4 linked regions of the Oreochromis niloticus genome follow. The protein of the gene in region 3 binds, or shares a complex with, the protein of the main gene of each other region. Links are inferred from orthologs where the notes say so. Each region holds a gene or a part of one and is shown on either strand. Other genes may lie near its edges. The genes, in order: ncaph, smc4, ncapd2 and smc2.

Region 1 (7,808 bases), on a different chromosome or scaffold from region 3:
GTGTGATCAGCTGAGCGCACCATCCACTCCGAGCTCCCTGCCCTGCACTCAATCTACAGCAGGCGGTGCTGGGCCAAGGCCAGGAAGATCGTGAAGGACCTCAGCCATCCCAAAAATGGACTGTTCTCTCTGTTGAGGTCAGGAAAGCGATTCCGCTCCCTGAAGACCAACACAGAGAGACTGAGGAGGAGCTTCTTTCCGCAGGCGATACGGTCTCTCAATCACACCACCACATAGTACTGACCCACACATATGGTTTTTACACACACACTGGACATTCTGCACATTTGTTTACATTTGTTTACATTTGCCATCTTGTTATTGATTAACAAGATCACTCTATCACAAGTCACTTAAATAAATCACTTTTAAGCATATTTGCACTGCACAAGACACTTAAATATGTGGGTTGCACAACCCTGGACATTACATTTCTTTCATTACCATTTATTACTCGTACAGCTGCTCTTATTGTTCTATATTTCTTCATATATTCTTCTATATTTTCTATATTGTGTATTTTGTTGTACAGTTATTTTATTTTTAACTTTAATTTTTATATTTTATTTTATTCTTTCCTAGTTAAATTTACTCTTCATTTTAATTTTCATATTTATTTCCTATCCTATTCATAGTCTTTTATTTTAGGTCACGAGCAGTTGTCTAAGCATTTCACTGCATATCGTACTGTGTATGACTGTGTATGTGACAAATAAAATTTGAATTTGAATTTTGAATTTGAATATAATGTTTCTTCTAGTATTAATGACCACAAACCCAGCAACACAAAGCAAAGCTAAACCAGCTCAAAGAGACTTTGAAGCGATTGTCACAGTGATTCTACTCTGAAAACACCAAAAGGTACAAACGGGAGCTACAAGCCGACTCATCACTGAAGATCAGGCTCTGCTCAGCACACACTCAGCTGTATCATCACGCTGGGTTCTTGGCTAGCTTGTTCGCAAAGAGCCAAACTTGCGTTAGCAGTATACATTGCTTCTGTCCTGAATGCAGTTTGAACTTTAAAATCACACTCTTGTGCTTTTGAGCAATAAAAACAAAAGTAATGTCCACATTTCTGCTTTTGACCACCCCAACACTTTTTTTCTCTTCCACACAAACTAGTGGTCTGTGGATCGATACTGAAATATCAATTCTTCCAGTACCAGATATTTATGTTCTAGAATCAAATCTCATCTTAAAATATCAATATTTTAGTAATTTGGGGTAAATTTGTAGTTTTTCATTAACAAGAACACAGTAGAAAGTACCTGTATTATTGGGACCATCTGAATGATTGGTAGGAACTACTTCTTCCGCCTGTCATAGTGAAATACCGCTGTATAAATGCATCATGGCTCACGTGTGCTCATTCACTCACTTGGTAAGGTCACAGAACTGTTAAACACAAACAAAAGTAAGTTATCACACAGAAAATGATGACGAGTTTATGATGAGGTGAACTGAAGAGGAGAGGGACAGGTGCTGCTAGGGTGATATCACTCCCAGATAAATGGATTATATATGCTAGGTGTCATTGAAATATACAGCATACTTACAGTAAAATAGCCTTGATAGACTTTAAAATATAAAAATACAACTTAAATATTTCATACATAAGACAGATAGATAATGACAGGCATCTATAAAACGTCTCAGCTGTATTATTATTTTCAGTCGGTCACATTTGTTTTGAGTGATTGTTAATTGAATATTTTCAAATGGTATTGACTTTTGGGTTTTTTTATTTTGTATATGGTAATTCTTCATAATCAAACAATAAGAACAAGTAGTCTGGTCACTTGTATTCATTGTAAAGGTATAATTTGAAATACACTACTTTTTATTTAGATTTTCCAAACACATTAGGTTTTTGTTTAAAGTATCAGTAGCCAATCAGTATCATTGATACTAGCCGGAATTTTACTGGGGATCAGATCAGAAAGGAACTCAGTGGTTATTGCACATCATTAACACAAACTGAAATCAGCTGATTGCAGCGCAAGTGCACAGAAAGAAAAAAGTGTGCTTGTGTGTTGTTGTTTTGTTTTGTTTTGTTTTTTCTTTCTATCCACCTCATGCAGAGAATTGACCAACTTTTCCAAATAACATCATAATTGTAACAGTAACATAACAACTGAATTTAGTGGATTAAATCATTACTGAAAAATGTACACATGCAGTATCAACACAATAAGCGTTCCAGCATTAGACAAACTCAAACAGAATTGATTCCAACATCCATCAGTGTTGTTTCCTGGGCTAAATCTGTTTGGCTACTCACTCCTTTATTACTCACTCCACTCACGCCTTTATTTAGCCCCAAATGATCAAGCTGTTTAAAACAGCAAATGCACTAAGGGCCTGCACAAAGGCCCAGTATATGATAAACAAAGCTTTTCGACTGGGAATCATGCAAAGCTACTTCAGCACAGTCCAATAATAACATCAAGCAAAAAACAGCAGAATTGATATGTGTCTGTCTGTGTCCTGGAGAATAAACATTGTACATGTTTTATTATTTGGTAGAGTCAGCCCTGGTCTTACAAGAATAAGATCTCTTATACTGAGGACACAAGTGTCTGTTCCTCATTTAAAGAGTGAACTTCATAACTATTAGACTTTGTTAGTTTATAGATATGAAAAATAAACCACCACCTCTAACGCTGAGTGACTATTTTGACTGAGAAAACATTCATATTAGGCCTCCTTCACTAACATTTCCATAGAGATTTTCTTAATTTGCACACTAAAAAGGTGTAGGTGCAAAATTATCATCTTCTTCAGGACACGTGCACAGCAACACCACAGTTTCCAGTCTGTTGGATCCCCTCCACCTCCACCCCTCCCTTCAGGAGGAACGCGCTAAAATTGCTGCAATAGAGAAGCCTAGCCACTGATGCAAAAATGCAAAAGAATTTTATGACTAGAGAAGCTGAAACCTTACTGTCCAAGGTGGAAGTCAAAATATGCATAATGTGTAACATGTAAAATAAAGTGTAAATATCAATCTGCTTGTATACCTTCATACTGAAGTTGTAAATCCAAGAACAATGAAAGGCCATCAAATTCAAAATTTGGAATAAATTTAGCTAATGCATTAGTTAGTTACTTAATTAGATTAGTTATAACATTGTTTTCTGTTATGACCTTAAATTGAATTCACTTTTAAAATGGAAAGCATTTACTTTAAATATCCGTTTACATTTTCCAGGACAGTTGGGCTGTTATTTTTGTGTACACAACTCTCTGAGGACACTCTTATTTGGTCAGATTCTCCAATTGGGGAGCCATCTGTGTGCTAAAACTTATGCATTTATGCTTAAATTCTTTTGTGACTCAAGCTTCTTTCTCTTGCCTTACAGACACACTCACTACTGGTGCAATCAAAGATGTTCACTGCATGGGCAGAGGGTACATCTCCAAGGAGTTAAGATAATACTCTGATCAACCCTGTCAAACATCACTGAAAGGCATTTTTTCTGACTGTGTCAAGCTTACTCATGGAAACTGGAATGAACTGGCTAATGTTTAACTTTGAATTTTTCCCATAGGTCTTTTGCAGAAGGTCTCTATAGACAAAAACAAAATGGGAAAAATTGAGCAGGGTTAGTGTCACACTAATAAAGGAATGTAACTGGCATTTCTCATTTGAATGAGAATATTCATTTAGAGGAAATCCTATGGGATTGTGTCACAGTTATTACTTACCTAATTATTACTTCCCTGAAAACTGATATTTAAAATTCTGGAAGTAGTTTAACAAAATTTTGACTTTCTTATATCAATTCTGAATCCATTCACCGTTCAACTTACCAGCAACACAATCTTGATTGTCACTGCCATCTAGTGAGTAGCCAATGCACTGCCATTATTCTCAGCCAGTCTAATGAAGCAAAGCCGCTGCTTCATGTCATTAGAAAGATTCCTTTTGCTTTAGTTTTTATTTCAGTCAATAATTATAAGAGAAATAGCTATTAATGAAATGTACTGTGCAACTTGCATGCTGCTTTTCAGTCTTTACTTTAGTAGCTGAATGTCAGTTGATGTTGTTAGAGTTGCGGCTGTGGCTGTCAAACAATATCTATCAAGTGTCTATTAAGTGATAGAAGTAAAAAGAAAATGGTTCCGAGCAAAGTGCTCCATCCTGTCATGCTAAAAAATGAAAGTGACAGCATGTGTGCTCTCTTAGCTGTGCAGGAATTTTGATGAAACATGGAGAAATGGTGTTTTGCTTTAGTGTGATGTGAATATCAATATATGTTTACTGAGTCACAGCTGCTTAACTTCGAGACCCTAGCCTCACATGTCATGCTTGATCTGTGATTATTACAGCAAACACTGTTTCAGTATGTCTTCACATACAAAATACACTCAGTCAGTACCAGTTATTCCTCTTATTAAGGAGCAGACCACTTAAACATTAAAGGATTTACTGACTCACTCGTCAATGATCATGGTAGTCAAAAGATCATTGCATAAGGAAGACATGGTGGGGGATGCTATTATGGTATTGAAAATGAAAAAAAAAACCTGATTATCTGTCATAAAAACTGATGAACACTTACTTTTTCGTGATGTAATGTTTTTATTAAACAATATCATAAAATAAACAATTCAACGAAAACTACTTTATGTTAATATTAAAGAAGAATTATTATAAACAATTATTATAATTATTAAAAAGAAGAAGAATCATTGAGTTTTATCTCAAGATCACTGTTTTCATAGTTTCCTTGGGGGTCATTAAACTACTCTGAATCTGATTTTCACTTTCTCTCGCTGTGGTGGGCGTGGTTAGCGTCATGACGTAGGTTGCTGCTACGTAAACCGTTCGGCGCAAAAATTCAAACGCTAGACAGGAAGAAATTTCCTGCTTGTTCTTTCTGTCATATTACAACTTATAACGGGTCTACATAAGTCTCCGTCGGATTTAAGGCAATTCTTGGTATGTTTTGGGGCTGAAGCAAGTCTTGTGATAAAGTTTTTATTTGTTAGTAAGCCTGCTAACGCTAACTGTAAGAACACGTTCATACCGAAGTTAGGGTTGTTATGCTAAAATGCATGTAAAGTTAGCTTAGTTAGCGTGAGCATGTAAGTGCGTTTGGGCAGTACATGTGCTTCTTACGTGATTATTTTACTAAACTAGCTTACCAAATATGTTGTGCTAAGATGGCGTTTGCTTTCTGAAAACTTACTTTAGTTGAATGTATATAACCTTTTCACTGGTTTAATACTTTATTGTAGAGTTCCTTTGTTTATGTGCGAGTAGCGTTCAAGCTAAGCTGATGGAAATCCACATTGAAGTCAATGGATATGAGTCTACAAAAGGAAGGATTCGCAGACTGTGCTGTGCTATACTAATAAATGATGAACCCTTAAAGTAAACAACGTTGTTTCGGTAGCAAACAGGCAAGATTGATGCGAACTTAACCCTAGCATATCATACTTGCATAACCAGAGCCAACATTAAGAGTTTGTCTTGTCTTTTTTCTCCCAATTTCTTTGCCATCATGAGACCACATTCTCTCTCCTTATTCTCATTAGTAATTTTTAAACTTGGCTTAAACTTTGTTTTCCTTTGTAAGTTCCAAACAGCTGTAACAACACAAGCACAGCACTTTGTAAAAACAGCTGATTCACAGTTATGTTAGCATCAAATATATGCCTCATCCCGTGGGTTGTATTGACAGATTTCACCACCGATATCCATTGAGTTACTTTTAATATTTTTCCTAAATTCTAGATTTTATTTGAGTTGCCTGCAACAAATAGTTAACTGAGCCAAGTTAACTTTCTCTCCTGCTTCAAATTGATATGTGTACGGTACATTCAGAGCGCTGAATTCTGCTCTTTAAGCACTATTTCTTTCCAACCCCCTGTTCAGTCCAAACTTCTTTTCCTATCTCCAGCAAAGATGAGCGGAGCCTCCACACCCGTCTCCCGAGTACAACCAGGATGGATGTCATCCTCTTTGAAGAATAAGGGTCTGTCCCCTGCAGGCAGCAGCACTCCACTGCTGTCAGCTTTCCCTGGAAACGATGATGAGCAGGAGCGACGTCAGCGTAGGAGGTCAAGAGTCATTGACCTTCAAGCTGCAAGTGACTCCTCCTTCAATGACTCTGCATCTCACAGGTATGCTGTAGATAATGGCAAGACTAAAAGTAATTTGTAAAAACATTTTGTGCCATGGCTTTGACAAACAGTACCTGTCTGCTTGGCTGCTATGTATCATGAGAGCTCAAAGACAATCTCATTGTCCTAATCAGCACTGTGGGAACTCCTGCTGCTGTGCCCAAGTTGTCAAATGCACAGATCTCAGAGCATTACTCCACCTGCATAAAACTCTCCACTGAAAATGTAAGTATTTGTATGTGTATGCATTTTCCTCTTTTCCCTTTACAGTAAATGTCCTTTGTCTTTCTCTGTGATTGGTAAATGAAAAAATATGGCGAAATACGGGGCAAATAAATGAATTAAGTACTTTTTTATTCTTATCGACAGAAAATCACCACCAAAAATGCATTTGGTCTGCATTTGATTGATTACATGGCTGATATTCTCAAACAAAAGGATTCAGAGCTCACCAACTTCAAGGTATGTGTAACTGATTCTTTCATTCATCATTTTGGTTCTCTAAAAGTCTTTGAACTGATTTAAACATTTGAATGAAACATCATGATAAATAGTCAAAGGAGTTCGCAAAGAAAAGCGTCTGGACTTCTTTAAGTTGCTTGAAGACGTTTCACCTCTCATCCGAGAAGCTTCTTCAGTTCTAAGGTCAAATGGCCGAGAGTCCCAGATTTAAACCCATTTGACCTTAGAACTGAAGAAGCTTCTCGGATGAGAGGTGAAACGTCTTCAAGCAACTTAAAGAAGTCCAGACGCTTTTCTTTGCAAACTCCTTTGACTACGATGACCTGGATGACTGAGAATCTTCACAGACATCATGATAAATAATTTTCTGGTTGTTGGAGAACATAGAAATGTTGTTTGGGTTTTTTTTAAAGTGTGTTTAAAATATCAGGAGAATATATTTCTTGGACTCAGCACCCACCTGACTTGTTTAAGTTAGGCGGGTGCTAACACCAGTTTGATTTTAATTCAGGGAAGCAGAATTTATACAAAATTAAGGCTGCATTCTGTCCAGTGTGATCTCTCATCTCACAAGCACCACTCATTCTGAGAAAGTGCAGGATTCTGTATTAATCTAGAGTATTTATTATTTAGTTTTGCAAGCAGTATCCTTCAATATTTACATCTTTTCATCCTAAAGGTGGCAGCTGGCACTCTGGATGCCAGTACGAAAATCTACGCTGTGAGGGTGGATGCTGTTCATGCTGATGCCTACAGAGTGCTGGGTGGTCTGGGTGCTGAAACCAAACCTGGAGAGGGTGAGAGTCTCTGTATTGTCGTTGGATTTTCTTTTAACCATACTTGTGCTATGGCTTGAGCTTTCTGGCTTTTTCTAACACAGTTTTAAAGTTGTTGAACCCACCTTCCTGTACTATTGAAGATTTTCTGCTTTTTTTGAATTCTTTATGCATACACAGGCCATGGTGCAACAGAGGAAGATGGAGATGATGCAGGACTTGCAGGAGGTGAAGTCACTGCCAAGCAGCCAAAGAAGAAAAGGCCTCCCAAGAAGACAGTAGAGCAGAACCTGAGCAACATCAACAGTGCTGAGTCTGAGAGGAGATGTGAGGTATGTAGAGGTCTTAGCAAAGTAACTAAAATAGTGCACACCTCAGTTCTTTTTTTTTTTTTTTACTTTTTGAAATAACAGAAGTATCGTTCAGGGCTTCGGG
Region 2 (6,986 bases), on a different chromosome or scaffold from region 3:
GATCAGTTTGATCTGCGTTTTGCTTTGCTAATTAACATTTTAGCGCTTAAATAATAAATGAAAAGTGTGCAGTTTTGCACATGCACTAGATACACATTTGCAGCTCCGCTTCAGTGAAATTAAGGTTTTAAGCCTTACCTTGGCTGGCTAGTGTTGAGCGTAGCATCCCACTTTTTGACCAGATTTTAATCTGCCCATCTTCTCCCGCTAATTAGAAAAACAACCAGAATAGACCTTAAAGACAGCTTGATTAGATTCTCATTTTGATTTAAAAAGGAAAAAAGGCTGATTAGATGAGTAGTTGTCAGATAACAGAGGAAATGAGTCCTAGTCATCTTTACCAGTGATAAGAGCAGTCCCATCATAGTTCCATCTTCCAGCCAAAACAGCTCCTTTGTGCGCCTCAACACTCTTCTCAATGCGACCCATCTTTGAGGTTAAGTGGAACTTTCCTGCAACAAATTTACAAAAAAACCCCACATAGATGGTGTAAAGCCATTCCACACACTAGGCCTGGGGTGATGTTGGTGTTTTCAGTTGTTTATAACTCAAATACAGAACTGAGCATTGTAATTCACTCAGTAAAGTTTCATAAATCTGTGGAATTCTAGTTACTGTGTAATAGAAAACAAGTTTTAATGGCCAAGACAAAATAGTAAAAATATATAAATAAATACGTATTTTAATCAAAACACACAATAACTACCAATGCATCTCCTAACACACAAATACAGACAAATTTATATTCTCTCCAATCAAGTAAATTACAAACTTCTGGTTTGAAGCAAATGAGTGAAACTAAAAAGGCCTCTGTTGGGTGAATTAGGGCAATTTTCTATGCGGTAGACACGAAAGGGTGATCAGCCATGGAGAGTTATTGAAGACCGTAGCCTACCATATACTTTGTGGCAGTGTGTATTAAAAATTCTGAATGTTCTATGTAATTTCTGGTGACCTAAAACTGCAAATCAGCATGCTGCAGTGCTCTCTCATTTCTAAATTTGGACATCCCAACAAAAGTAGATGTAACTGATCCAGCAGGTAGTCAGTTTAACAGGCATGTACAGCTGAGTGACTCTCTTAAATGAAAAGCACATTAGAAAGCCACATTCTACATAGGAAATGCTTAATTGTTTGTTTGCCTCTTATCTGGAAAGCCTCATTTTTTGATTTCTTATAAAAAATAAAATAAATAGTGATAATAATAATAATAACAATCGACCCTTTTAGTTTAGCTTTTCATTATATTTGGTCCTTTGAGAAATTCCTGGCAGCGCATCTAGACTTCCAAACAAAGTCTGAGAATATTCATCACACTTAATCGTACCCTCCTTGTGTCAAATCTGTCATACAATATAATTTCCAGCAAATGCCACGTATGAGCTATGCAATTCTGTGCCTTAACAGTGTGAACATATTGGGGATTCCAAAATAATGAAGTACGCTTATTAAGTAAATTTACAATATCAAGCTTAATAGGAATGAAATATTATACGAACTCCAATACCATGTGTGCTTGTAATTTAAAACGCTGAAACTGCTTAGCATCATACATTTAAAAAAAAAAAAAAAAAAAAAAAATCACAAATAAACTTGTAAAAGGGAAAGAAGGCCAACTAATCAAAAAAGGTTAGGAAATCCCAAAGATATAAAGTCTTCAAAACTAATAAAACCCAGGTGGACTGTTTTCTCTTCAAGTATGTCATACAATCTAATAGGAAATCCAACAAAGAATCCAGATTAAAAACTTTAATCTGGAGCAAAAGAAAGCTTTCAGTGTTTCAGTTAACAGTGAAGTCAAAATAAATGAATAAAACTCTGTTTCTATTCCCATTGCAGAACCAATAACTTTTGCAATACTAATATTTTTAACCGTAACAAGACAAGAAGCAGAGGAAAGTTGCAAAATGGATCGTAACACTTTTCACTAGTCTCTGCTCTGCCAGAGAAAATTGCTGCTTCAGTTTGTGGGTGTGTTTATGCAACCCTACACTGCCATTAGTGTTGTGACCACACATTGCCTTGCCATAACAGTACATCCATATTCTGTGTGTTGCATCTAACGCAGGCCAAAGAAGAGACATGTACGACAGATTCATGTCACACAAATAGTATCAACCAAGGGGTCGGTATTAGAAATCTACAAAACAAAAATTGAGTTTTAGACACAGATTTATACTGAATACATAAAAAGAAGAATTCAAATGGACTCTACTGGATCCTACAAGTATCAAATTGGTAGCGATTATTTCCCTTAAATATAAATAACTCTTGAATTGTGCCTATGTCTTCTAAAAAAATAAATAATCAAAAATTAAGGAAGACATTGCCATCCTGTAGATAGCCAAGTCTGTTACTTTATTTAATTTATTTATTTCATGAGAATGTCTTTAACTAATAAATGTATAGATATGACCAAAAAACGGCCACTCATTTTATGAATGAACTCTGAAATAAACCCTTTAACATTCGGGTCAAATTTCAGAGAATACAGAGACTTGCCATCTGTGCTGGTAAGAACAAAGATTTCAGCCTGGGCCTGTTTCTTCACACCAACAGTTTTGGGGAACCAGTGTAGGTCAGTAGGGTAAATTTCCTCTGGCAGTTTGACAATCAGACTGGTCTCACTGGTCAGCAGGTTCCACTTGAGAATCTGATGATCCTCACTGCACGAGTACAGCTCATCTGCTGTGGTCCAGCCAACGCAGCTCACAAGTTCTTTATGTGATCAGCTGTTAAGGAGTTATTAGTAATGAACTGATTCTAAAACCCTTTTTTGTGGTAACCTCTGCAATAAATTGGGTTTTCTGAAAAATGGACAGAGGTTAGAGCAACACAAGGATGGAAAATACTATCACTGCCTCAAATAGCACCACTAATAATTACGATTAAAAGTTCTGGAATTCTGTCACAGAATTACATGTGTTACATAATTACAAAAAGGATATGTTTGGATTCCTTTAGGAGCGACGTTTTCAGTCTCATGGTGGATGTTCGTTCTGTTGATCACTAAACGAACAGAAAAATGTCAGAGACAGTAACGTACCTGTTATGTTAAAGCTCTCTATATAACACTGTTGTCAAACCAACACAAAAAATAATAGTACAGAAGACCTGAAGCATGGGTGTATACAGCTTACCCGTAAACTATGTAAAGCAGCCGTTTGCACTCTCCGTTAGCTGTAACGATGAAACAAACAAGCGTCCGCTGTTGCTACGGTACCTGCTACTGTTGCTAACGGAAGTCCTCAGCTATCCCCTGAGTCTCGTCTGTGACTTGAATGCTAACGTTAACTTGTTCTCTTGGTTAAAATGGACATCGTTTTCTCGTTGCCGAGTGTACTAAGCGACTCTCAGCAAAACGTGCGTGTCATTTACTCTACTATGAAGCGCTATTAGAATACGCAAAAGTCTTATCTATCACCAATCAGCAATTTATGCCCCAACGTGTAAAACCTGCACTTTGGTAGCCATTTAATCTGGGTCATAAACAGCTTGAAAAACAAATTATCGCGAGAGTTGCATCTCAACTTCCTTGACAACGGAAATTTCGAAATATTTCTAAGTTCAAAAACGACATCTGTTAAATAAATGCATTTATGCAAGTCGTTAGAATCGGGATCAACCAACACTAACAGTTGATCTATCGAGCTATATTTCCTCAAGTATAGACATTGCCCGGGGCAGGTCCTTTATCGTACCACAGACAACCGTTTGAAGACGTAGGAACAACATTAGGCATTTAATAAGAATAAACTTGAATAATATGAACAATTTGCTGTAAACGCATTGCATGGCTCTTATTCCTTTTCGTTTGTTCTTTAGAGTCGTGTGAATGCGGTTTGTTTGGAGTGAGGCGGAGTTGGCTTCGTCCCCTTTTTTGAATTTCGTTTCCCCCCCCCTGCCCTTTGAACGTTCCATGGTGCCTTGCGTCAGTTTGTAACGAATTTGGTTCGACAGCGAGGTTTAGGCGCCATTTACAAGTTTGAGTTATCAACTAAGGAGAGCGAGTCGGAGTGACACGGGAGTAAATTTTTTGGATTATATTTGCCAAACTTTGGATTGACGATTATTTTTTGCGTAATAGCGACTGTGGTCTGAAAGGAAGACTCTTGACAGATCGTGGTTATAGTGTGGAAGGTACATGGAAGTATTTTAGGGGAATGTAACGACTGGGTTCCATCTACTTGCTGAAATGTATTACGTTTGAAGAGGGACTTAACAGTAACGGCAAGTTAAACTAAGGTTTAACGTTAGCTTCTGATTGAAAGCGAGCGGACCATTATTACACATACTAACAGAAATAATGAGACCTAATCACTTTTCGTCTTAACTTATATTAAACCCACAGTGACACTCACTCTTAATAGTGACATTTCCGACTCGTTTAAGTAATGCTCGCGTTGCTAATAGCTCATAACCGGCGGGCTCTAATGTATTTACTCGTTTAACTTTAATACTAGGGTTAATAACTCCTTTCATTTCAGATAACACGTTGACGTTGGATAGGTTTTGCGTTTCATTTATGCCGACACTCCATTTGACTTTATAGAGCCCAGCAACTCATACCTTTTTATAGTTTAAGTTAGCCATTATGTTAGCTTTAGCGTCGCAGCGATATTTCACTTCATATAGTTAGCCAATCAGTTAGCAGCAGTAGTAGTAGTATAGCTAACTTAACGGTAACGTTAGCAAGTAAAAACAGCGTGGCAGGGTTTGCGCTGCCATTGCCAAGTTACTTATTTGGCAAACGTGAATGTAATTATAACGTTATGCTAACACGGGTAAAGTTGCATTAGTTGTTTGAATGTGCGTACCAATTACCTAGCGAGTTAGGTTGGCTCGTCTACGCCTCCGCCCCAGCAAAAACGTTGTGGGGATGAAAGTTAATATTAGTGTCGGTTTGAAACCTCGATCAATTTAGGACGTTGGGTCTTCACCACCAACTTCAGCCAAACTTCAGCCACATTAGCAGTGGCAGTGTAACGCAGGCTAGGCTAAGAGAGCTAAGGGGGAAAATAATTAGGCTATTTGCACATTAACTGAGTCGTTTTTCACTTGCTGTGACGTTAACCTTATTTTTGCTGCGTTATTTACCGCCTAGGTTCGCGAGGCAAAATAAAATGCATGATATAGATGCAGATGCCTACTACAATTATTCTGTGAAAGGATGAGATTATTATTTTAATATAGGTTATTTTAAAGAAAAATGATGCTTGATTTTAAACTTGAAATAGCTTATGATTCTGTGCAGTCATCGGATTGGTGCTATCTCATTTTAACGTTTTCAGCACGAGTAACTCGTGTAATGCTGGACTCATTGTTGTAACAGCAATGTTAAGATATGCAAAGTATACCGATTAACAGTTAGCTGGGCGTCAATAGGATCTGACTGTGGTAATGATTAGAGCCTGACAGAGAAGCTGCGTGTAACCGACTAAAAGTGGAGTTGAGAGATTGACAGGCACAAAAACCACTCATGGATATTCCCTTTTTACCAATGACCCCTTCAGATTTCAAGTCATGCCATCTAAAACTGCAAAGAGCTCAACTGCCTCCGCCAAGCCAAGAGGGAAAGGGTCGCAGTCTGACTCCGAAGACGAGCTAGATGTACCCCCTCAAGAAACCAACTCCAATGGCCAAGAGGAGGCACCGCCGAAAACTGGCAAGTAACAAAGGGTGTTTTGGTGTCTGTGAATCTAAATAAGTTGTTCAGTCAAAGCCTTTGCGTGTATTGCTGTATTGGTAGGGGCCAATTGGCACAGCTGTAAAGCTTTTTTTTCCCCTTCTTGCTTAAACAACACGGAGTTAGAATGGCTGATATATTTTTCACTAAAGTGCCAGTCATCAATAAAATGATTTTGGAGATGATTTTGATAACGCCGAGTGTACTTCTTCCCCGGATCTTCTCAGCAGACGAGGTAATTTATTTCGAAAAATGAGGTGCTTTGTGTAGTAGATCAGAGCGGTGTTTGACTTAATTCTTGTAAGCTTGATATTCACTGATTTCTATGCGAACCTTATAAGATGCACATAAGCAGTGGGTAATGTCTGTATTTTGTAGAATATGTTGAAATGCTTCACTGGGTGTCTGGCTGCGAGGTTTTAATTGACAAACATCGACATCTTTGCTTGTTTATGCTTATGTGAGCACAATAGATTTTGGACAGGTCGTTGTGGCTTGGTGTGATGGCAACATAATCGTTTCTGCGTTACACATTATTATCACAAAACACCCGTTTTCCTGTTTCTGTTTGAGCACAGACAGGCATGAGTGAAAATGTGACGCTGATGGCTGAGATTTCCACTTTAGTTATTTGTCATCGACAATGTGGCGCATCTGAGTACGTAGAGAGCGTTTGGATTATAATGTGGGTTCGTTCATAAGCGGCCATGGTCTCTTTTCTTTTTTGGGGTTGGCTCTTGTTTGCAGAACAAAGAAAAATAACGCCTGTCAACTTTTCTTTCTGGAGTCGTACTTTGACTGCTCTTGTAACTTGGTGCGTGTGTTTTGTTTGTTTTTGTTTTTTTGTGTGTGTGTGTGCGCGAGTATGCTTCTCTACCCCTCCCCCACGTACAACTGCCCCCCCCCCCACCTGAAACGACTCGAACAGAAGAATAAAAGTTGTACTTTTTGTGTGCCACAGATTCGTCTCACGGGGAAGCTACCGAGACCGTTGATAATAGAAGTTTGGAGGAGATTGTCGGTAGCATCCCTCCACCTCCGCCCCCAGCAATGACCAATGAACCGGGCGCCCCTCGCCTGATGATAACACATTTAGTTAATCGAAACTTTAAATCATATGCAGGCGAGCAGATTCTGGGGCCTTTTCACAAGGTACGACCAAACATGGTTACACATGTAATCCCTGCCTGGGAAATACTCTTCTGATGTGTCACAGATTTAACATCACTTGTTGTGTATCCCACTCTTAATTTAATTTTTTTTCTGTTTAATTTCATATGATATAAACTCATAGATTTTT
Region 3 (7,597 bases):
CTGGTGGGTTTACTCTTCACATGGCTTATGGTTGGGTTCTCAAGGAGCTTGTAGCAGCAGCAGGTCACACAGCTAAGAGGAGAGAAATGTGTGTGGGTTTTTATATATTAGATTATGGTAAGACCTGGATACCAAAAACCCACAATGAATAGTAGACAAGGTTTTGAATTCATCAGAAATATCAGATACACATAGTGCATGTTAAAAGCTGAGGTAAGTGCTGCTAGGAGTGTTGTGAGTATTAAACTACCACATAAATGTCTTCTGACAAACAATTTATCCTTACTGAGAACCATAAAACAAGTGGAAAGTGAGGAAATGTGCATAAAGAAAATATTACATTAGGCAATTTACCACAGTTCAAAGTTCTTCTAACCTTATTAGATATTGTAGATTATTAATGAAGAGGCACACATCATTGTCATAAGAGTTACAATTAAGGCTACAGAGTTCCGAATGCTCGGAAGTGATATGGATAAGTTGTAAATGACACCAATTAACTGAATTAAACCAGCAAAACGTGATACTGTATTCTCTCCCAGAGCTCTCCTGACAGCAAAGTACCTGATGAACTCTTCCTCCACCAAGGAGAGGCTCCACAGTGAACGGATGTCCAGTTGGAAGAGCTGCACAAGTGCCTGTAGCACCTGCTCTCTTTCTGAGTCCCACTGCATGAGTCCTTCTCCACCTGCTTTGCCTTTTTTACCACCCTGTACATAATAAAAAGAGCAGTTAAGCTTCATAGATGCTGGACTATGAAATCTTTAATATAGTAATGAGATCAAGTAAATCACAATAGATGTCTTCAGATTACCAAAGAAAACAATTCACACCAGCCAAACCAACTATACAGAGACTGATAGCCTCTTGTTAGCTGATCAATATGCACACAATGGCAAACATCCACACATTGTTTGACAACTCCTGCTTATACTACCCAATTTCTCTTGAGGTGGCACAGCATAGAAAATGTCAATTTCACTCTGGGTGGGCCCTTACAGTAATGCAATAACACTCTACCACACAACCAAGATTACCCACATAACAACAGGCTAGAGACTTAATATCTTAGTCTGACTGAATCATAAAGCTTGTCAAAGCTCATCAGTGGACATTTATCATAACAGACATATGCAAAGAACCCTTTAGCTAGGTAAGCAATAAGCATACCTTCCCAGTTGCTGTGACAATATTCTGCCTATAGGAATCACTCTCCAGGTTCTCTGTGAGTTTGCAAAGCAGGAAGACGCTCATTTTAACTGCGTTAAGTTTTTCCTTGCGCTCTGCAGCTGAGAGGGAGGTGGAGACAAGGATGCTCGGCAGTGAAACAGACAACCCACTAACCACTGAAAGGCAAGGGGTATAAAAAAAAAAAAAAAAAATCAGGTTATATGAGCACATCAACATATCAAAGTTATCAATTTAAACATTAAGAAAATATTTTTTCTTATAAAAAAAAAAAAAAAAAAAAAAAGCAACCTTGTACTAGTAATTCCAGAGTATCTTCTTTCACAGCCAGATCTACCGACTTACAGTGCCTAAAGAAGCAAAGACAGTTGTTTTGTACAGTAATAATCACAATAAATAAAAGTGGGCAATACCTGAAGACACTTACTGCAGCACACTGTAGCCAGTGTCGAAGTGCTCCAGTATACACAAAGGCCCCTGACTCCTTAATGCTGCCTTGAATTCTGTGTGAAACAGAATTTAAAAAAAATAAACAAATAAATATACTAGTACAATCATTGCTAAGTATCTGAACAGTGACAACATTTTGTAATTTTGGGTAAAAAACCCCAAAACAAAACAAAAAATGCAAGTACATAGGTATTTTAATTAACCTTACTTGGGCGTGTGGTAAAAGAGCAGGAATCTTTGGAAGGATTCATATAATTATGTCTGAGATTTCAGAGATCACAGTACCCCTTTATTGGAGACTGTTTGTTTTAAGGGATGGTGATAAACACTTTAGAAGAAGCTGGGTGCAATCCAGTATTATAATTATTTTATTTTATTTAGAAAGAGGGACAATACACATTAATAAACATTTTATCAAATGCAAATATGCCAGATTATAGGTAATTTCCATCTGCAGACCCTCTGGCAGGTTGGTGTAGTAAAAACATAGTGAGACAGATTCTTAGCCCAGGACAATTCTTGGATGGTAATGACTTGTTGGAGGTGTTTGAAGAAAAAGCGATGACTTCTGTGCCGATGTTCTACAATTTGTTTAAAAAAAATAAATAAATAACCCCCCCAAAAGACAAAACAAAACATATCAGTGACCTGGCTACATGTTGACCACTTACTGTTGAGATAGGACGGGAGCTGTTTTGCGGAGACCACATCCTGAACGACGTACTGGTTGATCCCTCCAGTCTTCACAAGGTCCCCCACGCACACAGGTACAAAGAAGTCCCACGACATCCCTGAATCAATTAAAACAAACAAACAAACAAAAACAGCGTTTATTTGCATGTTTAACTAACTTAGCTACTCTTGGGAAAGAATTTGATATTACTTCTAAAGATGCTACCTACTATTTTACAAAGCGAGATAGTCGAATATTCGACTAAACACATTTACAATTTAACTTGTTCTTGACCCTAGCTAAGGAGCTAAAGTGCAGCTTAAGACTCTCCAAGACACTCCAGCCCATGTGACTGTTATAAGAATTACTTCTATTTACCAAAGAGTAACCTTTATTTTTGTGGGTTTATCTAACCTAAGCAAAACAGCTACTGCTAATACAGTTAGCGAGCTAACTAGCAGGGCTAGCTCAGTATCTTGCACGCAGTTACATTATTGTAAAACGGAAATGGCTTCAACAACAAACTACTAACTTTTTATAGTTTATAAACATAAAGCTCACCCGTAACAAATGTACTCCTGTTAGCCAAACTGTGGACCTCTACAGAAACACGCGTAGCCTGTTAGTATTCACCGTCTACAAACGGTCTAAATCCAGCAAGTTTTCAAATTTGTCCGGACACCGCGCCAAAGCGGAGACTCTGACGTCACATGACCCCGCCCACGTTGACGTGCTGCTGTTTGACCGAACATTGCCACCTGCCGGACGCTCGTGCGCACTACAGCACAAAGTCAGAAACTTTACAAACCACAATTAAAAACGGAGAGAGACACAAAGGAGGACAGAGAAAAGGTTTTTGAGGTAGTAGCTGTATTCAAATGATTGAAACACAATCACCCCCTCTCCCCGGTACCAATATTTCAGCTACAGAAATGACAATACTTTTCAAAAAAAATTTCTTACTTCCTATGCAGCACTCAGTCAAATGTTAAAAATGAAATGGTTCAATTCACTACCACAGGTGACTAATACTGTCAAGTTGCAGCATTTTTTTTTAAAATTTTCCCTCTTCTTATATCGAAAAATTAAACTAGTGTTCCAAGGCTAAGCACAAGAAACTAACCATATGACAAAGCATCAAATCATCCATGGTCTTTTTTTTGGAAGAAAATACAATTTTGTAGTTGTACATGTGAATACGGTATAGAGTATTATGGAAAATTCAAATGTCATACCATTATGGGCAGTTATAGTGTTTATTAATCACTCAGAAAATAAAATGTAAAAAAAAAAAAAGTCACAAAAAGAGCACCAAAGGTAACAACAAAAACTCAAAATTAGTGTTAACCATTTTTGTTTTTTTAAAAAGCAAAATTTAAATACATTTGTAACACTTGGCTCCTTCAAACATTCTGCATCAGACCAAGGCAAGTACGTAAACCAAAATTTAAAAAGCACCAAATGTTAAGGAAGATGAGAAACAAAAAGTTCTAGTAACTAATGAAGAAATATTCTTCTCATTTTCCATCTGATCAGAGTCCGTGTTTCGTTCCAGGAGAACCAGGTGTTCTCACTTCCTCTTTCTGTCCTGAGAGCACCGTGGACAGTACCTGCATAGCATAAATGAAGAGTGGTGAGGGTGCATACTTTCAACACTCTGACTGAACACATTTGTTAAATTAGATCACAGTCTCAATTTCACTTTAGTTTTTTTTTACCATTTGCCTCTTGGTTTGGTTGTCAGTCCCACACATGCGAAATGGAACCACTCAATGGAGCACTGGAAAAAGACAAAAACAAAAAAAATACTGGTAAGTCTTGTGCAAATGAAGCAGTTGGGACAGACAAAAATCACATTTTTCTAGAACACATGATGGAGAACAATCTGTTCAAAAAGAGCCATCACATGTAATATTCACAGTGTGGCTTCTGCTAATAAATCAGTCACACTGCCATCTGTGACCTTATCCACACAGCGAGTGGCACCGGGCTGCAGCGTCTTAATTTATGGTTAGCATCTTGGAAATGTATGTAAGAGAGAGCCTGTACATGCACTTTATAAAGTATAACAGACACATAATACCATTTCAGCTTCTATTTTTTATTATTAATCTGATTTAATGCTCGCAGATTCAGCTCTGTATGATACAATTATACAGTCGTGACCTTTTTTGATATGTGGATGGTATTTATTGATATTAAAATAAATAATATCATTCCTTCATTAAAGGGACCAGTGAAGGTACCACATTTTGTGCGCTTTATTAAATGTCACAAAGGGACACATTGTCATTTACTCACTTCCAAATGCAACCTCTCTTCCTTTGTTAAGATGTACAGATGGATCTTTAAATCTGATAACAGCAGGGCTCCATCCACTTAAAACGCCATTATAAGCAAATAAGTAACGGGAAATTAGAACTAGAAGGTGATTTACTACATATTAAACCATTTTCCACAACCGTCTGGCTTTGCCTTTATTGCATAAATGTGCACTCACCAGAGACTTTATTAGGTAGGTCTTGCTAGTACCAAGTTAGACCTCTTTTTGCCTTCAGAGCTGCTTAGTTCTTTGTGGCACAGAGACAAGGTGTTGATTACGTTCTCAGAGATTTTGGTCCGAACTGACATGATAGCGTCACACAGTTGCTGCAGATTTGTCAGACGCATATCCATGAAGCTCCACGATGGTGATGATGTCACATTCAAAGTCACTTAATTCAACTTTCTTCCTCATTCTGATGCTCAGATGAAACTTCAGCAGGTCCTTGACCATAGCTACATGCATTGAGTTGCTGTCATTGACTGGCTAATTAGTTCTTTGCATTAATGAACAGCTGAACAGGTCTAAACTACTAAAGTAGCTGCTGTATTTTTGTTAATGCAGCCTCATTTTCTTCTCTTTTCTATGCTCCTTTCCTTGATGTGTCCAATTATGAACATTCTTCTCCTGTAGAATAAGCTAAAAACTGACAAGACCAGTCATCTTGGAAAAAAAAACCTTTCCACATACTGTAACTGGTTAAAACAAACACATGTATATTCTGCCAAGTTAAAAATATACCGGCCATAAACACTAAATGAAAAAAAAAAAACCTGTTTCCCTATGTTTGGTGGTTCTGACAACATCAGAGGGATGTGTGTGAGTATTTCACTATAACCAGACCTCTTTTCATTTGGTTCATATTGAAACATAACAGAACATAACTCAAATAAAAGTGGGCAATGATTAATATATTTCATTTTGTTATTGCCAAACAAAATGGGATCAGTGGATATGCAGATAAGGACAGCACACTGAACCCAAACAACCGGACATCTCCCTCTCAAGTTCAGTAAAGACAATAAAAAGGGACATGCCATCTTATGCCAAAAGACAACTGTCACAAGCAAAATGAAGCAAGAAACTGCAAAGAAAGCATCCCAAGACCCTCTGTGGTCTAGCCTCCTCTGTGTGTTTACACAAAATGCTCTTTTCTCCAGTGAAAAGAGCCAGAAAACATCAGAAAATATATAAAGCGTTCAGAACACCAGTGCTTGTTTCTGTTACTCTGTATGATTTGTCTTCATATTATGACACTTGAAGTGGGTTATAAAATTGATTTGGTTGAGGTTTCTCACAGAGCTTAAATGTTTTTTAGCCCTAACATTTTCGTTTAGCTACAGCTCTTCTGACGTTTGATGGCTGAAAAATACTGGGGGGAAAAAAAAAATGAGGCAAACAAAGATGTGCAAAATTTCTGCCCACTATTATGTGCTTTAAGTACCTGTAACTCAAAATACATTGATAGTATTTAATTACCTAAATTTTGATTTGCTTCATTAAATCGATTAAAGTAATATCCATGCATTTATTTTCTTAAGTGTTTGTCAAATTCAGGGTCACAAATGGGCTGGAGCCTAACCCAGCTATCTCAGTTTTTTTTTTACCTACAACAACAACAAAAAAACATGTGATACAGATGGGAAGTATTTTCATATTTTCTTGATTTTATATCAAATGAGCCTCTTCACATTGATGAACAACAAGAAAATACGTGAATATTTGAAGTCTGTAAAGGATTTATACCTAACAGAAAGTCAACCAAAGACTTTATTATTTGCTATAGTTTTCAGTGTAAACATTTTGGTTGCTACACTTGCGCTCTTTTTCTGTTAAAGACTTGTGCTCTAAACCATGTAGCTTTTCAAACGACAACACACATTCATCAACATTAAATGTAAACTTGTGTCTATACCGATCTCATGTGTCCTCTGATTGAGTGTAAGAGGGCATTTTAATACAAAACTCACATCAGTGTTGTCACAGCCGATCATCTCGCCATAGGAGACCTGATGACATAGGCAGTAGGTGGGCTCGTTGGGGTCCACTGGCATATCCAGCACATCGGATGGGTGCACGTTCCCAAAGTTGGAAGAAGGGCTGTTGAATTCTCCTCTGATGATTAAAAAATGTTGTGTGTGAGAAAAAGAAATAACAATGACGAGACCATCAAAAACTAAACAGTGCCCAACATACGGCTGAAGGAGTTTCACTTTCTTCTGTGCACTCTTAGGACTGCCGTCTTCATCTGAACTCTTCACTTTAGACCTCGTTTTAGCTGCCTTCTTCTCTTTTTGCCTGGAATCTCCTGGGATTACAAAAGCATGCAAGACATACATTATAATGAGTATGGATTTACTTAACTGAGCACGTAACTAATTCAACAAAATAAAAAACTGGGGGCAAATACAGTGTTAACCCACCTTTCTTCCCCTTACTAGAGGTGGAATCATAGTCTGTGCTCTCGATTTGCTTTTCCTTCAGGTCAGCCTCAAACCGAGCCAGATCCGTGTCCAGACGTCTGATGTGTTTATCCACCTGCACAAAATTCAGGCCATGCTTACTCAAATACAGGGCAGTGTATTTATAAAGTTATTTCTTCTAATAAACATGTCTAAAATATGTTTATTTTCTAAGATACCAACCATTTCATAGGTCTGCATGGCCAGCTGCACCTTATCATCTCCAAACTCCTTGCATTTACTGTATGACTGCTGGATCTGCCTCAGTATGGACAGCTTTTGCTCAGAGGAGAGAGTCCGGGCGTTGGCAGTGTATTCTTTAGCCAGAGAGTCTATCTGGCCTTTAAGATCTAAAAAAATAATAATAATCATAATTTTTTTTTAAAAAAGATGAGAAGAACTTCTAAACAATGCTGTCTGTGATTACGAATATAATTTTAATACCTCACACAAATAAGTCAAAATGTTTTTTAAAATAACACAATTGGATATTCAGTTTTC
Region 4 (7,408 bases), on a different chromosome or scaffold from region 3:
TTCACCTCTGCTTGTTTGGTCTTCAGCTCAGCCTGGGCATGCTTAAGCGTCATTTGGGCCTGAGCATAAATAAGGAAGAAAAAAGAAATTGTTGGAAATTCATGATAAAATAAGAACCCAGGGAATAAGGTCAGTGAAAAAAATGTTTTCTAGTCACAGAAGCATATACGTGTAATCAGCCTTCTGCAAAAATATTTATTCTTAAAGCAAGACTCTGACTCTAAAGACATCTGTCCGTCTGCTTTCGTCACCTGCTTGGCCTCTGTATCTGCTTTGCTCATGTCATTCTTGCAGGTCATCATCTGGCCTGCGAGTGTGGCTTCCTCTCCATCCTCATTGGTAGAAAGACCTGCAGACACAGCTTTGAAATGCTGTTCAGCTGCTTCAAGGGCAGCGCTGTCATTCTTTCCTTCCTCCTGCAGAGCCTGAAGCTGCTTGGTCAACACAGAAACCTCTTTTTCCTTCACCACAAGCATTTTCTTGTCCTGTGGATGAAGGAAAACAACAGTTTGAATAAATGATTCAGATGTACAGATTACCCTTGTTTGCAAGTCATAGAATAACACGATTTATCAGTCTGTTACCTCCTCCATGTTCTTTACAAGCTCCTTCCTCTTCTTGGTTTCATCTTTGAGATTTGATTTTTTTAAGTCAAGTGCACTCTGAGCTTTGGCATCCACACGCTGAACATCAGCTAGAGCCTCCTCAAGGGACTTTAATACTCCATTTACTTCCTACAGACGAGCAGATTGATATGGATTACTTTGCTGCAGTTCGATTAAAACATACAAAGAATGGACCTATAGCATACAAATTATTTTAAAGACTTCAACAAAGGTATTGCAAAATCTGCCCACTATTATATAAAAATTCAAATTGTGATAAAATTTTTTAAATTACTCTTATCGCTCCCTTTCTTCTCCAGTGTAAAGTACCTGGTCTTTTTCCTTTTGCAGCTCCTGAATCTGGGCTGTGAGCTCCTGGACTTTGCTCTCGTTCTCTGCCATGCTAGCTTGCATCTTGGCGATGTTGTCCTGCATCACTTTTAGATTCTCTGCTGACTTCAGCTTGGTCTCCTCCGCACACACAAACAGCCAGGCCACATACAGCCGCGACAAGTGCTGGATCTCACGCATCAGCTTCTGGTATTCCAGGTATGATGATCGTTCCTGCGGACAGAGGAAGGTTCAGAAATGGATATTACAACAGTAAAAACAAAAAGAACACAGGCTTCACAGGTTGAACCTGTGGAGAGAGATAGTCAGTTCAAATCTTAATGCCAAACTACCTCCTGCAGTTTCTGCATGGTTGGAGTGATTTCCTCATCCAAAATCTGTAAGAGCAAACAAAATAAATGGTTTGCTTCAGCAGCAGTTTGCTGACGAACAAGTATAGATAGTGATATAGTCAGAGTGACTTAACATACAGTCTGAATCTCCTTCAGCTTGGCCTCTTTCTTCTCGATGGTCTTCTGAGCGCTAATCTTTTTACATTCATACATCCTGGTACCTGCTGCTTCCTCGATCATGGCAAGGATCTGAAAGAATAAAAGTATTCAATATTAGAAGTCCTAAGAAGGGAGGGAAATATGGTCCTCCTAATGGGCAACGTGTTTGTCTTACCTCTGGTGGTTTCATATTCAGAACTTTGGTAATCCTCCCCTAATGTATTAAAACAAAAGGAAAATCTATGAATGGGGTGACAGATCATATCTATTCACAACCACAACTACACAGCTGACACAAGACTGACCTGCATGATGAGAAAATGTGGGTTGTTGACATTAAGACCAACAGAGCAGAATAAGTCCTGCACTCGGGTGTTGTTGGCATTGACTCCATTGATGAGATACTTGTTCCTGCCACCAATTACCACCTTAAAAAAAAAAAAAAAAGTATATCCGTGTTAATACAAGCACTGCATAATAACCCTAAAGCCAGAGACTTTCCTCCTTTATTTCTTTCCCCACCTGTCTCGTAACAGTGATCTCATCATGTGTTTCAAACCCCAGAGGACTCTGGCTTTTGTTGGAGTTGTCAAAGGTAATGGACACAGTGGCCTTTGTGATGCCACCCTGTCCGTTCTTGTACACCAAGTCCTGGAGGTTGGAGGCTCGCACCTGTCAGATGAGATGAAACAAAAAGGGATGCAAGTTTTGAATGAGAAACAACTACACATGCTTCTTACTTAGTTAACCTCAGTTCAGAGTCACTGCAGCTTCGTATTTTTCAACAGTTGTTCTTCATATTTTGTTTCTCACTTTTGTGGCAGTTCAGTTTGACCTGAGTCAGTTTTCAGAAAGGATATGTTTATTTTATTGTATTATTTTTTGTCACTTGCTATGAGAGAACCATATTGTTATAAACAAATCGTGACGGCTATTTACTTCCAGTCACGAAGCGACCGCAGTCTCAAAGTGTCGATGCCTCCTTATGCTTACTCTATTGACAGCTTCTACGAAACTAAAACTAGATGTATTTCTTGTATTCATACTTCATTTTATTTTAAATTTGTTTCGCAAAATACAGTAGTTTTAAGCACTATAACAATTTGTGACTTTCGCTTGTTACTGACAGGAATACAACCACTGCCAAACTCTACAAAAACTCTAAGTAATCAAATATAAACAACTGTAACACTGGATTTGATAGCTTTTAAGCTATCTTACGCACAACAGCACACTTACATGGGTGAGATTTGAAATACCCAAAAGGAAACATATCGAGTCCAAAATATTGGACTTGCCGCTGCCGTTCAGTCCTGTGATGGCGTTGAAGAGTGGGTCAAAGCCGTTGATCTCCGTCCTTTGCGCGTAGGACTTGAATCCTTCGATAATAATAGACTTGATGTACATTTTTCGAGTTTCTTCTCTCCGCTGATTCCGGAGGCAAGACTTGTTATAGCCAAGTGACAAACCACCACCTTAAACGGAAAGCATCAAATATTAGCCCCGTGTTTACAACCGACAACTGGGAAACTGCTTCTTCTCTCCTCTAACTTGAATTTTGGCGGCAGGCGTGCAGACCCTGAGCCGCGAGTGCGTGCGTCCGTTGTGTGCCGGAAACAAAACAAAGAAAACTTACTACATGAAAAATATGCAGACACACAACAAGTATATTATAATGATGAAATTTTAAAATAAATAAACGTCAATGTAAAATCAAAGAAATGACGATTCTTAAATATTTATTGCGACATATATTTATTTTCGTCAGGCAACTTCTAAGGCAACTAAAACTCTTAGACGTGTGTGTTGGCGCCACCTGTAGTAGATACGAATATGAAGTACAAGTGCATTAGTAAAATCGTCCCGAGTCAACCTGTCCGGTCGAGAAAATACTGCATTATACTAAAAATAGTTTTAGTTAATAAAGATAATTTAATGACGCTAATATCTAGCGTCATTAAATATTAAATATTTCTTTATATAAAATCCGAAATATTAAATGAAATTGAAAAACCTGTCACTTAGAAGCGCTATGAGGCTGCTCTCCCGCTTGGGATTTAGAGAAATCGGTGGTATGACTGTTAAATAACGAAAAGTAGCTCCTCTCGCTAAAAGCATTGACTAGAAGTTATAGCCTTGAATTCAAATACTAATTATTCCCACAGTTATTTAACCTATGTAACCTATTGTGCAAAAGTCTTGACCCACCCCTAATTTCTTTATCTTTTGCTTCCAAGCCGCCAGAACTTCTTGTAATTGTAATATAATGCCAAAGATAACACAGTTGAACAGGCATGAAGTAATATTTTCTGATTTACCTATTAACTGAAAACTTTGCACGTCTTGGCATGGTGTGTAGTGTGTGTGTGTGTATATATATATATATATATATATGCACACACATATGTGTGTGTGTGTGTGTGTGTGTGTGTGTGTGTGTGTGTGTGTGTGTGTGTGCGTCTGCAGCACATCTGAAAATAATGTCCTAAAGAAATACTGTTTGAAGAAGGTCTGGCCGAGACCTCAGAGATATCTGGCTGAGCCCTCATCAGAAATGGTCTCAGTGGAGGGGTGAATTTCAAGAAGCAATTCTTAAGGAAGGAAAACGGGGAGAAAATGCTGAGGTATGCTAAATTACATAAGAACTGTACTGAAAATCAGTGGTAAGAGGTCTTATGAAGTGATGAAACCATTTTTAAAAAAATCATTGTTAATATGTAGAGAAGAAGTCAGGAAAAAGGTACAACAGCATGTACAGCCATCTGTAAAACACCGTACAGACTCTGTCATGGTTTGGGACTACAATTCAGCCAGTGGTGTTGGGATCATGTCAAAATGAATGGAATTATTAACACAGAAAAGTTCCATAAGAGTCTGATCCACCACGCAGGCATCTTGAAAGCATCTGATTTGTAGGGGCTTCAGCATGACAGTCATTTCAAACACACTGCCAATGCACTAAAAGCATATCTGGATAGAAAAACCTACAGTGGAACACTATCAGCTATGGAGCGACCTCCCTAGAGTCTGGCCCTCAACATTATTGAAGCAGTGTGGAATCGTCTTGACAGAGAATGGAAGAAAAGGCAGCCAACATACAAAGAAGAGTTTTGGATGTCCTTCAAGAAGCCCAGAGAACTATTCCTAAAGACTACTTACAGAAATTACAAGTTTTCCTAAGAGAATTCAGGCTATGCTAAAGAAAAAAGCTGGTCATACAGAATAATAACTTAGTATTAACTAACTTAACTCAGGCTCACTGGAATTGTACAAACTCGTTTTTTTTACACTGTTTATTGTATTTCTGTGCGTGTTTGCAGATGTTTAAAAAATTGTTGCATCTATTTCCCATTTTCCTAGTAAAATGTAAAGAAATGACAGGGTGGCTTAAGACTTTTGCACAGTAGTGCATGTACTCAAATGTTGCTTGAAAGCCTCTCGTCATTGGAGTAATACATCTAGTGAGGAAATACCTAATCATTTATTTATCTAGAAATGGCATAGAGTATACTGGAATCAGACACTGAAATATCCACCAAATACATTTTAAGGTTCATTAAAATAAATGAGATTTTTGCAGCGCAGCTCCCTGTGACATATACTGTTAACAGTACTATGCACTGCATAAAGAGCATAGGGTAAATGATTCGTACCCTATGTTTAAAAGGGTAAAGGGAGAAAGAAGCGCAAGAATTTGCAGTTGCTTTATTTGTTTTGTGCTACATTTATTTTGAAATTCAGCACATGGAATATAATACTTTCAGGGTTATATAATTAAAAGTTCACAAAATTAGATGATAAATATAGCACATAGCTAGCATTTGCCATGAAGATACATTCAGCAGAGCATTAATGCAAAACATATTTCATTGTAAGTTCTTCAAAGCCCAGCTTACTGAAGCTACGAGCCTACATTTGCTTCTCACTAACTGATATAAGTAATATACACGTACAGTATTTGCTGCAACTTTGTAATATAAACACCCACCTTAACTGGCACTCTCACAACAACTGTGTACTTTTATTATCCATCCAGAGGCACATGACACATGGAGAGACAAACCAAATTGATCGCATAGAAGCATATCTGTGACAGAACAGCGCAGTCCCCTTTGTTTGAGTAGAAGGAGGTGGGCTTGATGTAAGGCCAGTCAAAGTTCCTCAGGTTCAGTGACCTTTGACAGTACCGGTCACTGAGGGCAACCAGGGCACGCACGATAGCGTATTTGGCTGAGCAGCTGATGGCCGTCACTGTACGCACCTCGTCGAAGTGCAGCAGGAAACAAGGGTCATCCTGAAACCAAAGCAAATTATATTTATGGAGCACCTTTAAGAATCACTGCATTTTTTTTATTGTGTTTGTTCTGTAGAAAGCCTACATTATTATAGGGCAACTAAAGCCAAATGACCACAGACCATTCTTCTTTACCTTGTCCCTAGTCCACAAATATTATGTGTTTAAGCAACTGTAGAAATTTTGCAACCGATTAATTAAAATGTGAAAAATAGATAAATAACACTGTCAAATTTATTGCTGATGAGTCACGGGAGGGTGCCAGAGCAGGAGTAAAGATTTTAATAACATGACTCATCTAAGATTAAATAGCTAAGTAGCTTCTGATAAAACTTTGGTATTATCTTAAATTCATTTATTTATTTTTTCTTAATGTATTTACATGCCTGTGTGTGTATGTGGGATACATACAATGCTTAACAAATTTATTAGACCACTTGTCATAAAAACATGAAAGCACCAATATTTTAGAAATCTGTCAAAAACGTGTTTAAAAGTAAAAGTTATATCATTATTTATTAGGCAAACACAAAATTTGTGTTCACATTTTTATATTCGAAAAACGCCAGTACACCGCATAACATTAAATCACTAAACCTTTTCTGTTTAGGAATGCAATCACTGTAATTTGCCATCTTAATAAAATAAAATAAAAAATTTGTGTGCTTTAATATAAATCACAGCTAAAAATAATAATAACAACAGCAATTTTAGCATTAAAAATATCATTTTCATTAAAGAGCTTGTTACTTACTGGTAGATTAAACATGACAGAAACATAGAAAATGACATGAATAATTACAAACACTGTTAATTTAGTGCGGCTGTGGCATAAACCGAACATTATGGTGGTGGTCAAAGGTCAGTGACTTTGTGCAGCACTTTGGTTGGTGAAAACTGTGTTTAAATGCGCTTTACAAATACATTTTAATTACTTAGTTAATAGGTACTGATAAAGCAAAATGTCTACAAATCTTTATTATGCGTTCTATGCGCTCATCAAGAATGCCATCCACATACAGTTACCCAAAAGACAGTTTGTCTCTATTTGTAGCCAGTTAAGAACAGTGGAAGTTACAGAAGAATTTGGCTAATTACCACGTCAGGATTTCTTCCATCAATCAGGGTAAGGTCTTTCAGGGACCAGATCTCTGTCCTCTGGTAGCACTCTTGTATGCAGGAGCGTTTGGTGAAGGATCTCTTGGATGCAGACTTTAGGGGCACAGACATCTGACAGTGCACTATGCATAGCTGGACTTCTTTGTTTTTTGCAACTGCGGAAAAATGGAAAAACATCACAAACAGGTGCACTGCAGCACCGGGCTTTTCATCAGCAAGCCAGCCTTATAGATTTAACACACCCTGTGTGGTGCAGGTATACACAGCTTTTAAGGAAGTGAGTTATTAAAGACATTAAAAATGTACATTTACATTTTAAGGAGGAAGATATTTACTCCTGTGTAAAAATCAAATGCATATTTCTGAGTCAACAATCAAGCTGTTTACCTGAGGCACAGAGAAAATGTCTTCCGTGCGATGGCTCTTCAATTTCAATGAACTCCACCAGTCTCTGTTTTGCAGGTCGAAACAAAACTCTCTGCATCTCCTCCCTCAGAAGAGACGACATCACTGGAGAGAGGGGGGAGAAGAATCAGAGCGTCCCAAAA

Evidence for each region.
Region 1: ncapd2 (region 3) and ncaph share a complex: the UniProt entries of both Homo sapiens proteins name them as parts of the condensin complex. The link is inferred for Oreochromis niloticus from reciprocal best matches to the Homo sapiens genes NCAPD2 and NCAPH.
Region 2: ncapd2 (region 3) and smc4 share a complex: the UniProt entries of both Homo sapiens proteins name them as parts of the condensin complex. The link is inferred for Oreochromis niloticus from reciprocal best matches to the Homo sapiens genes NCAPD2 and SMC4.
Region 4: ncapd2 (region 3) and smc2 share a complex: the UniProt entries of both Homo sapiens proteins name them as parts of the condensin complex. The link is inferred for Oreochromis niloticus from reciprocal best matches to the Homo sapiens genes NCAPD2 and SMC2.

What each region holds. Positions count from the first base shown.
Region 1 is NC_031977.2:6,091,790-6,099,597, forward strand, and holds the start of ncaph (condensin complex subunit 2), read left to right. Parts: upstream 1-4,797; 5' UTR 4,798-4,948; exon of another isoform or gene 4,949-5,018; intron 5,019-5,912; 5' UTR 5,913-5,917; coding exon 5,918-6,135; intron 6,136-6,269; coding exon 6,270-6,360; intron 6,361-6,504; coding exon 6,505-6,597; intron 6,598-7,276; coding exon 7,277-7,394; intron 7,395-7,553; coding exon 7,554-7,705; intron 7,706-7,808. UniProt on the Homo sapiens protein: Regulatory subunit of the condensin complex, a complex required for conversion of interphase chromatin into mitotic-like condense chromosomes.
Region 2 is NC_031979.2:23,949,614-23,956,599, reverse strand, and holds the start of smc4 (structural maintenance of chromosomes protein 4), read left to right. Parts: upstream 1-3,984; 5' UTR 3,985-4,140; intron 4,141-4,207; exon of another isoform or gene 4,208-4,230; intron 4,231-4,824; exon of another isoform or gene 4,825-5,504; intron 5,505-5,513; 5' UTR 5,514-5,523; coding exon 5,524-5,665; intron 5,666-5,803; exon of another isoform or gene 5,804-5,921; intron 5,922-6,647; coding exon 6,648-6,838; intron 6,839-6,986. Other genes in the region: ift80 (intraflagellar transport protein 80 homolog), read right to left, coding at 139-207, 342-452, 2,503-2,724, 2,949-2,985. UniProt on the Homo sapiens protein: Central component of the condensin complex, a complex required for conversion of interphase chromatin into mitotic-like condense chromosomes.
Region 3 is NC_031976.2:23,069,351-23,076,947, reverse strand, and holds the start of ncapd2 (condensin complex subunit 1), read right to left. Parts: upstream 3,022-7,597; 5' UTR 2,873-3,021; intron 2,430-2,872; 5' UTR 2,428-2,429; coding exon 2,310-2,427; intron 1,692-2,309; coding exon 1,616-1,691; exon of another isoform or gene 1,602-1,615; intron 1,539-1,601; coding exon 1,480-1,538; intron 1,347-1,479; coding exon 1,171-1,346; intron 1,114-1,170; exon of another isoform or gene 801-1,113; intron 711-800; coding exon 565-710; intron 73-564; coding exon 1-72. Other genes in the region: ing4 (inhibitor of growth protein 4), read right to left, coding at 3,882-3,921, 4,030-4,091, 6,605-6,749, 6,831-6,942, 7,058-7,172, 7,280-7,446. UniProt on the Homo sapiens protein: Regulatory subunit of the condensin complex, a complex required for conversion of interphase chromatin into mitotic-like condense chromosomes.
Region 4 is NC_031971.2:23,782,965-23,790,372, forward strand, and holds the start of smc2 (structural maintenance of chromosomes protein 2), read right to left. Parts: upstream 3,020-7,408; 5' UTR 2,855-3,019; coding exon 2,687-2,854; intron 2,120-2,686; coding exon 1,970-2,119; intron 1,876-1,969; coding exon 1,753-1,875; intron 1,662-1,752; coding exon 1,623-1,661; intron 1,538-1,622; coding exon 1,427-1,537; intron 1,334-1,426; coding exon 1,289-1,333; intron 1,170-1,288; coding exon 936-1,169; intron 735-935; coding exon 585-734; intron 486-584; coding exon 252-485; intron 60-251; coding exon 1-59. Other genes in the region: exoc1l (exocyst complex component 1-like), read right to left, coding at 5,472-5,741, 6,840-7,015, 7,248-7,370. UniProt on the Homo sapiens protein: Central component of the condensin complex, a complex required for conversion of interphase chromatin into mitotic-like condense chromosomes.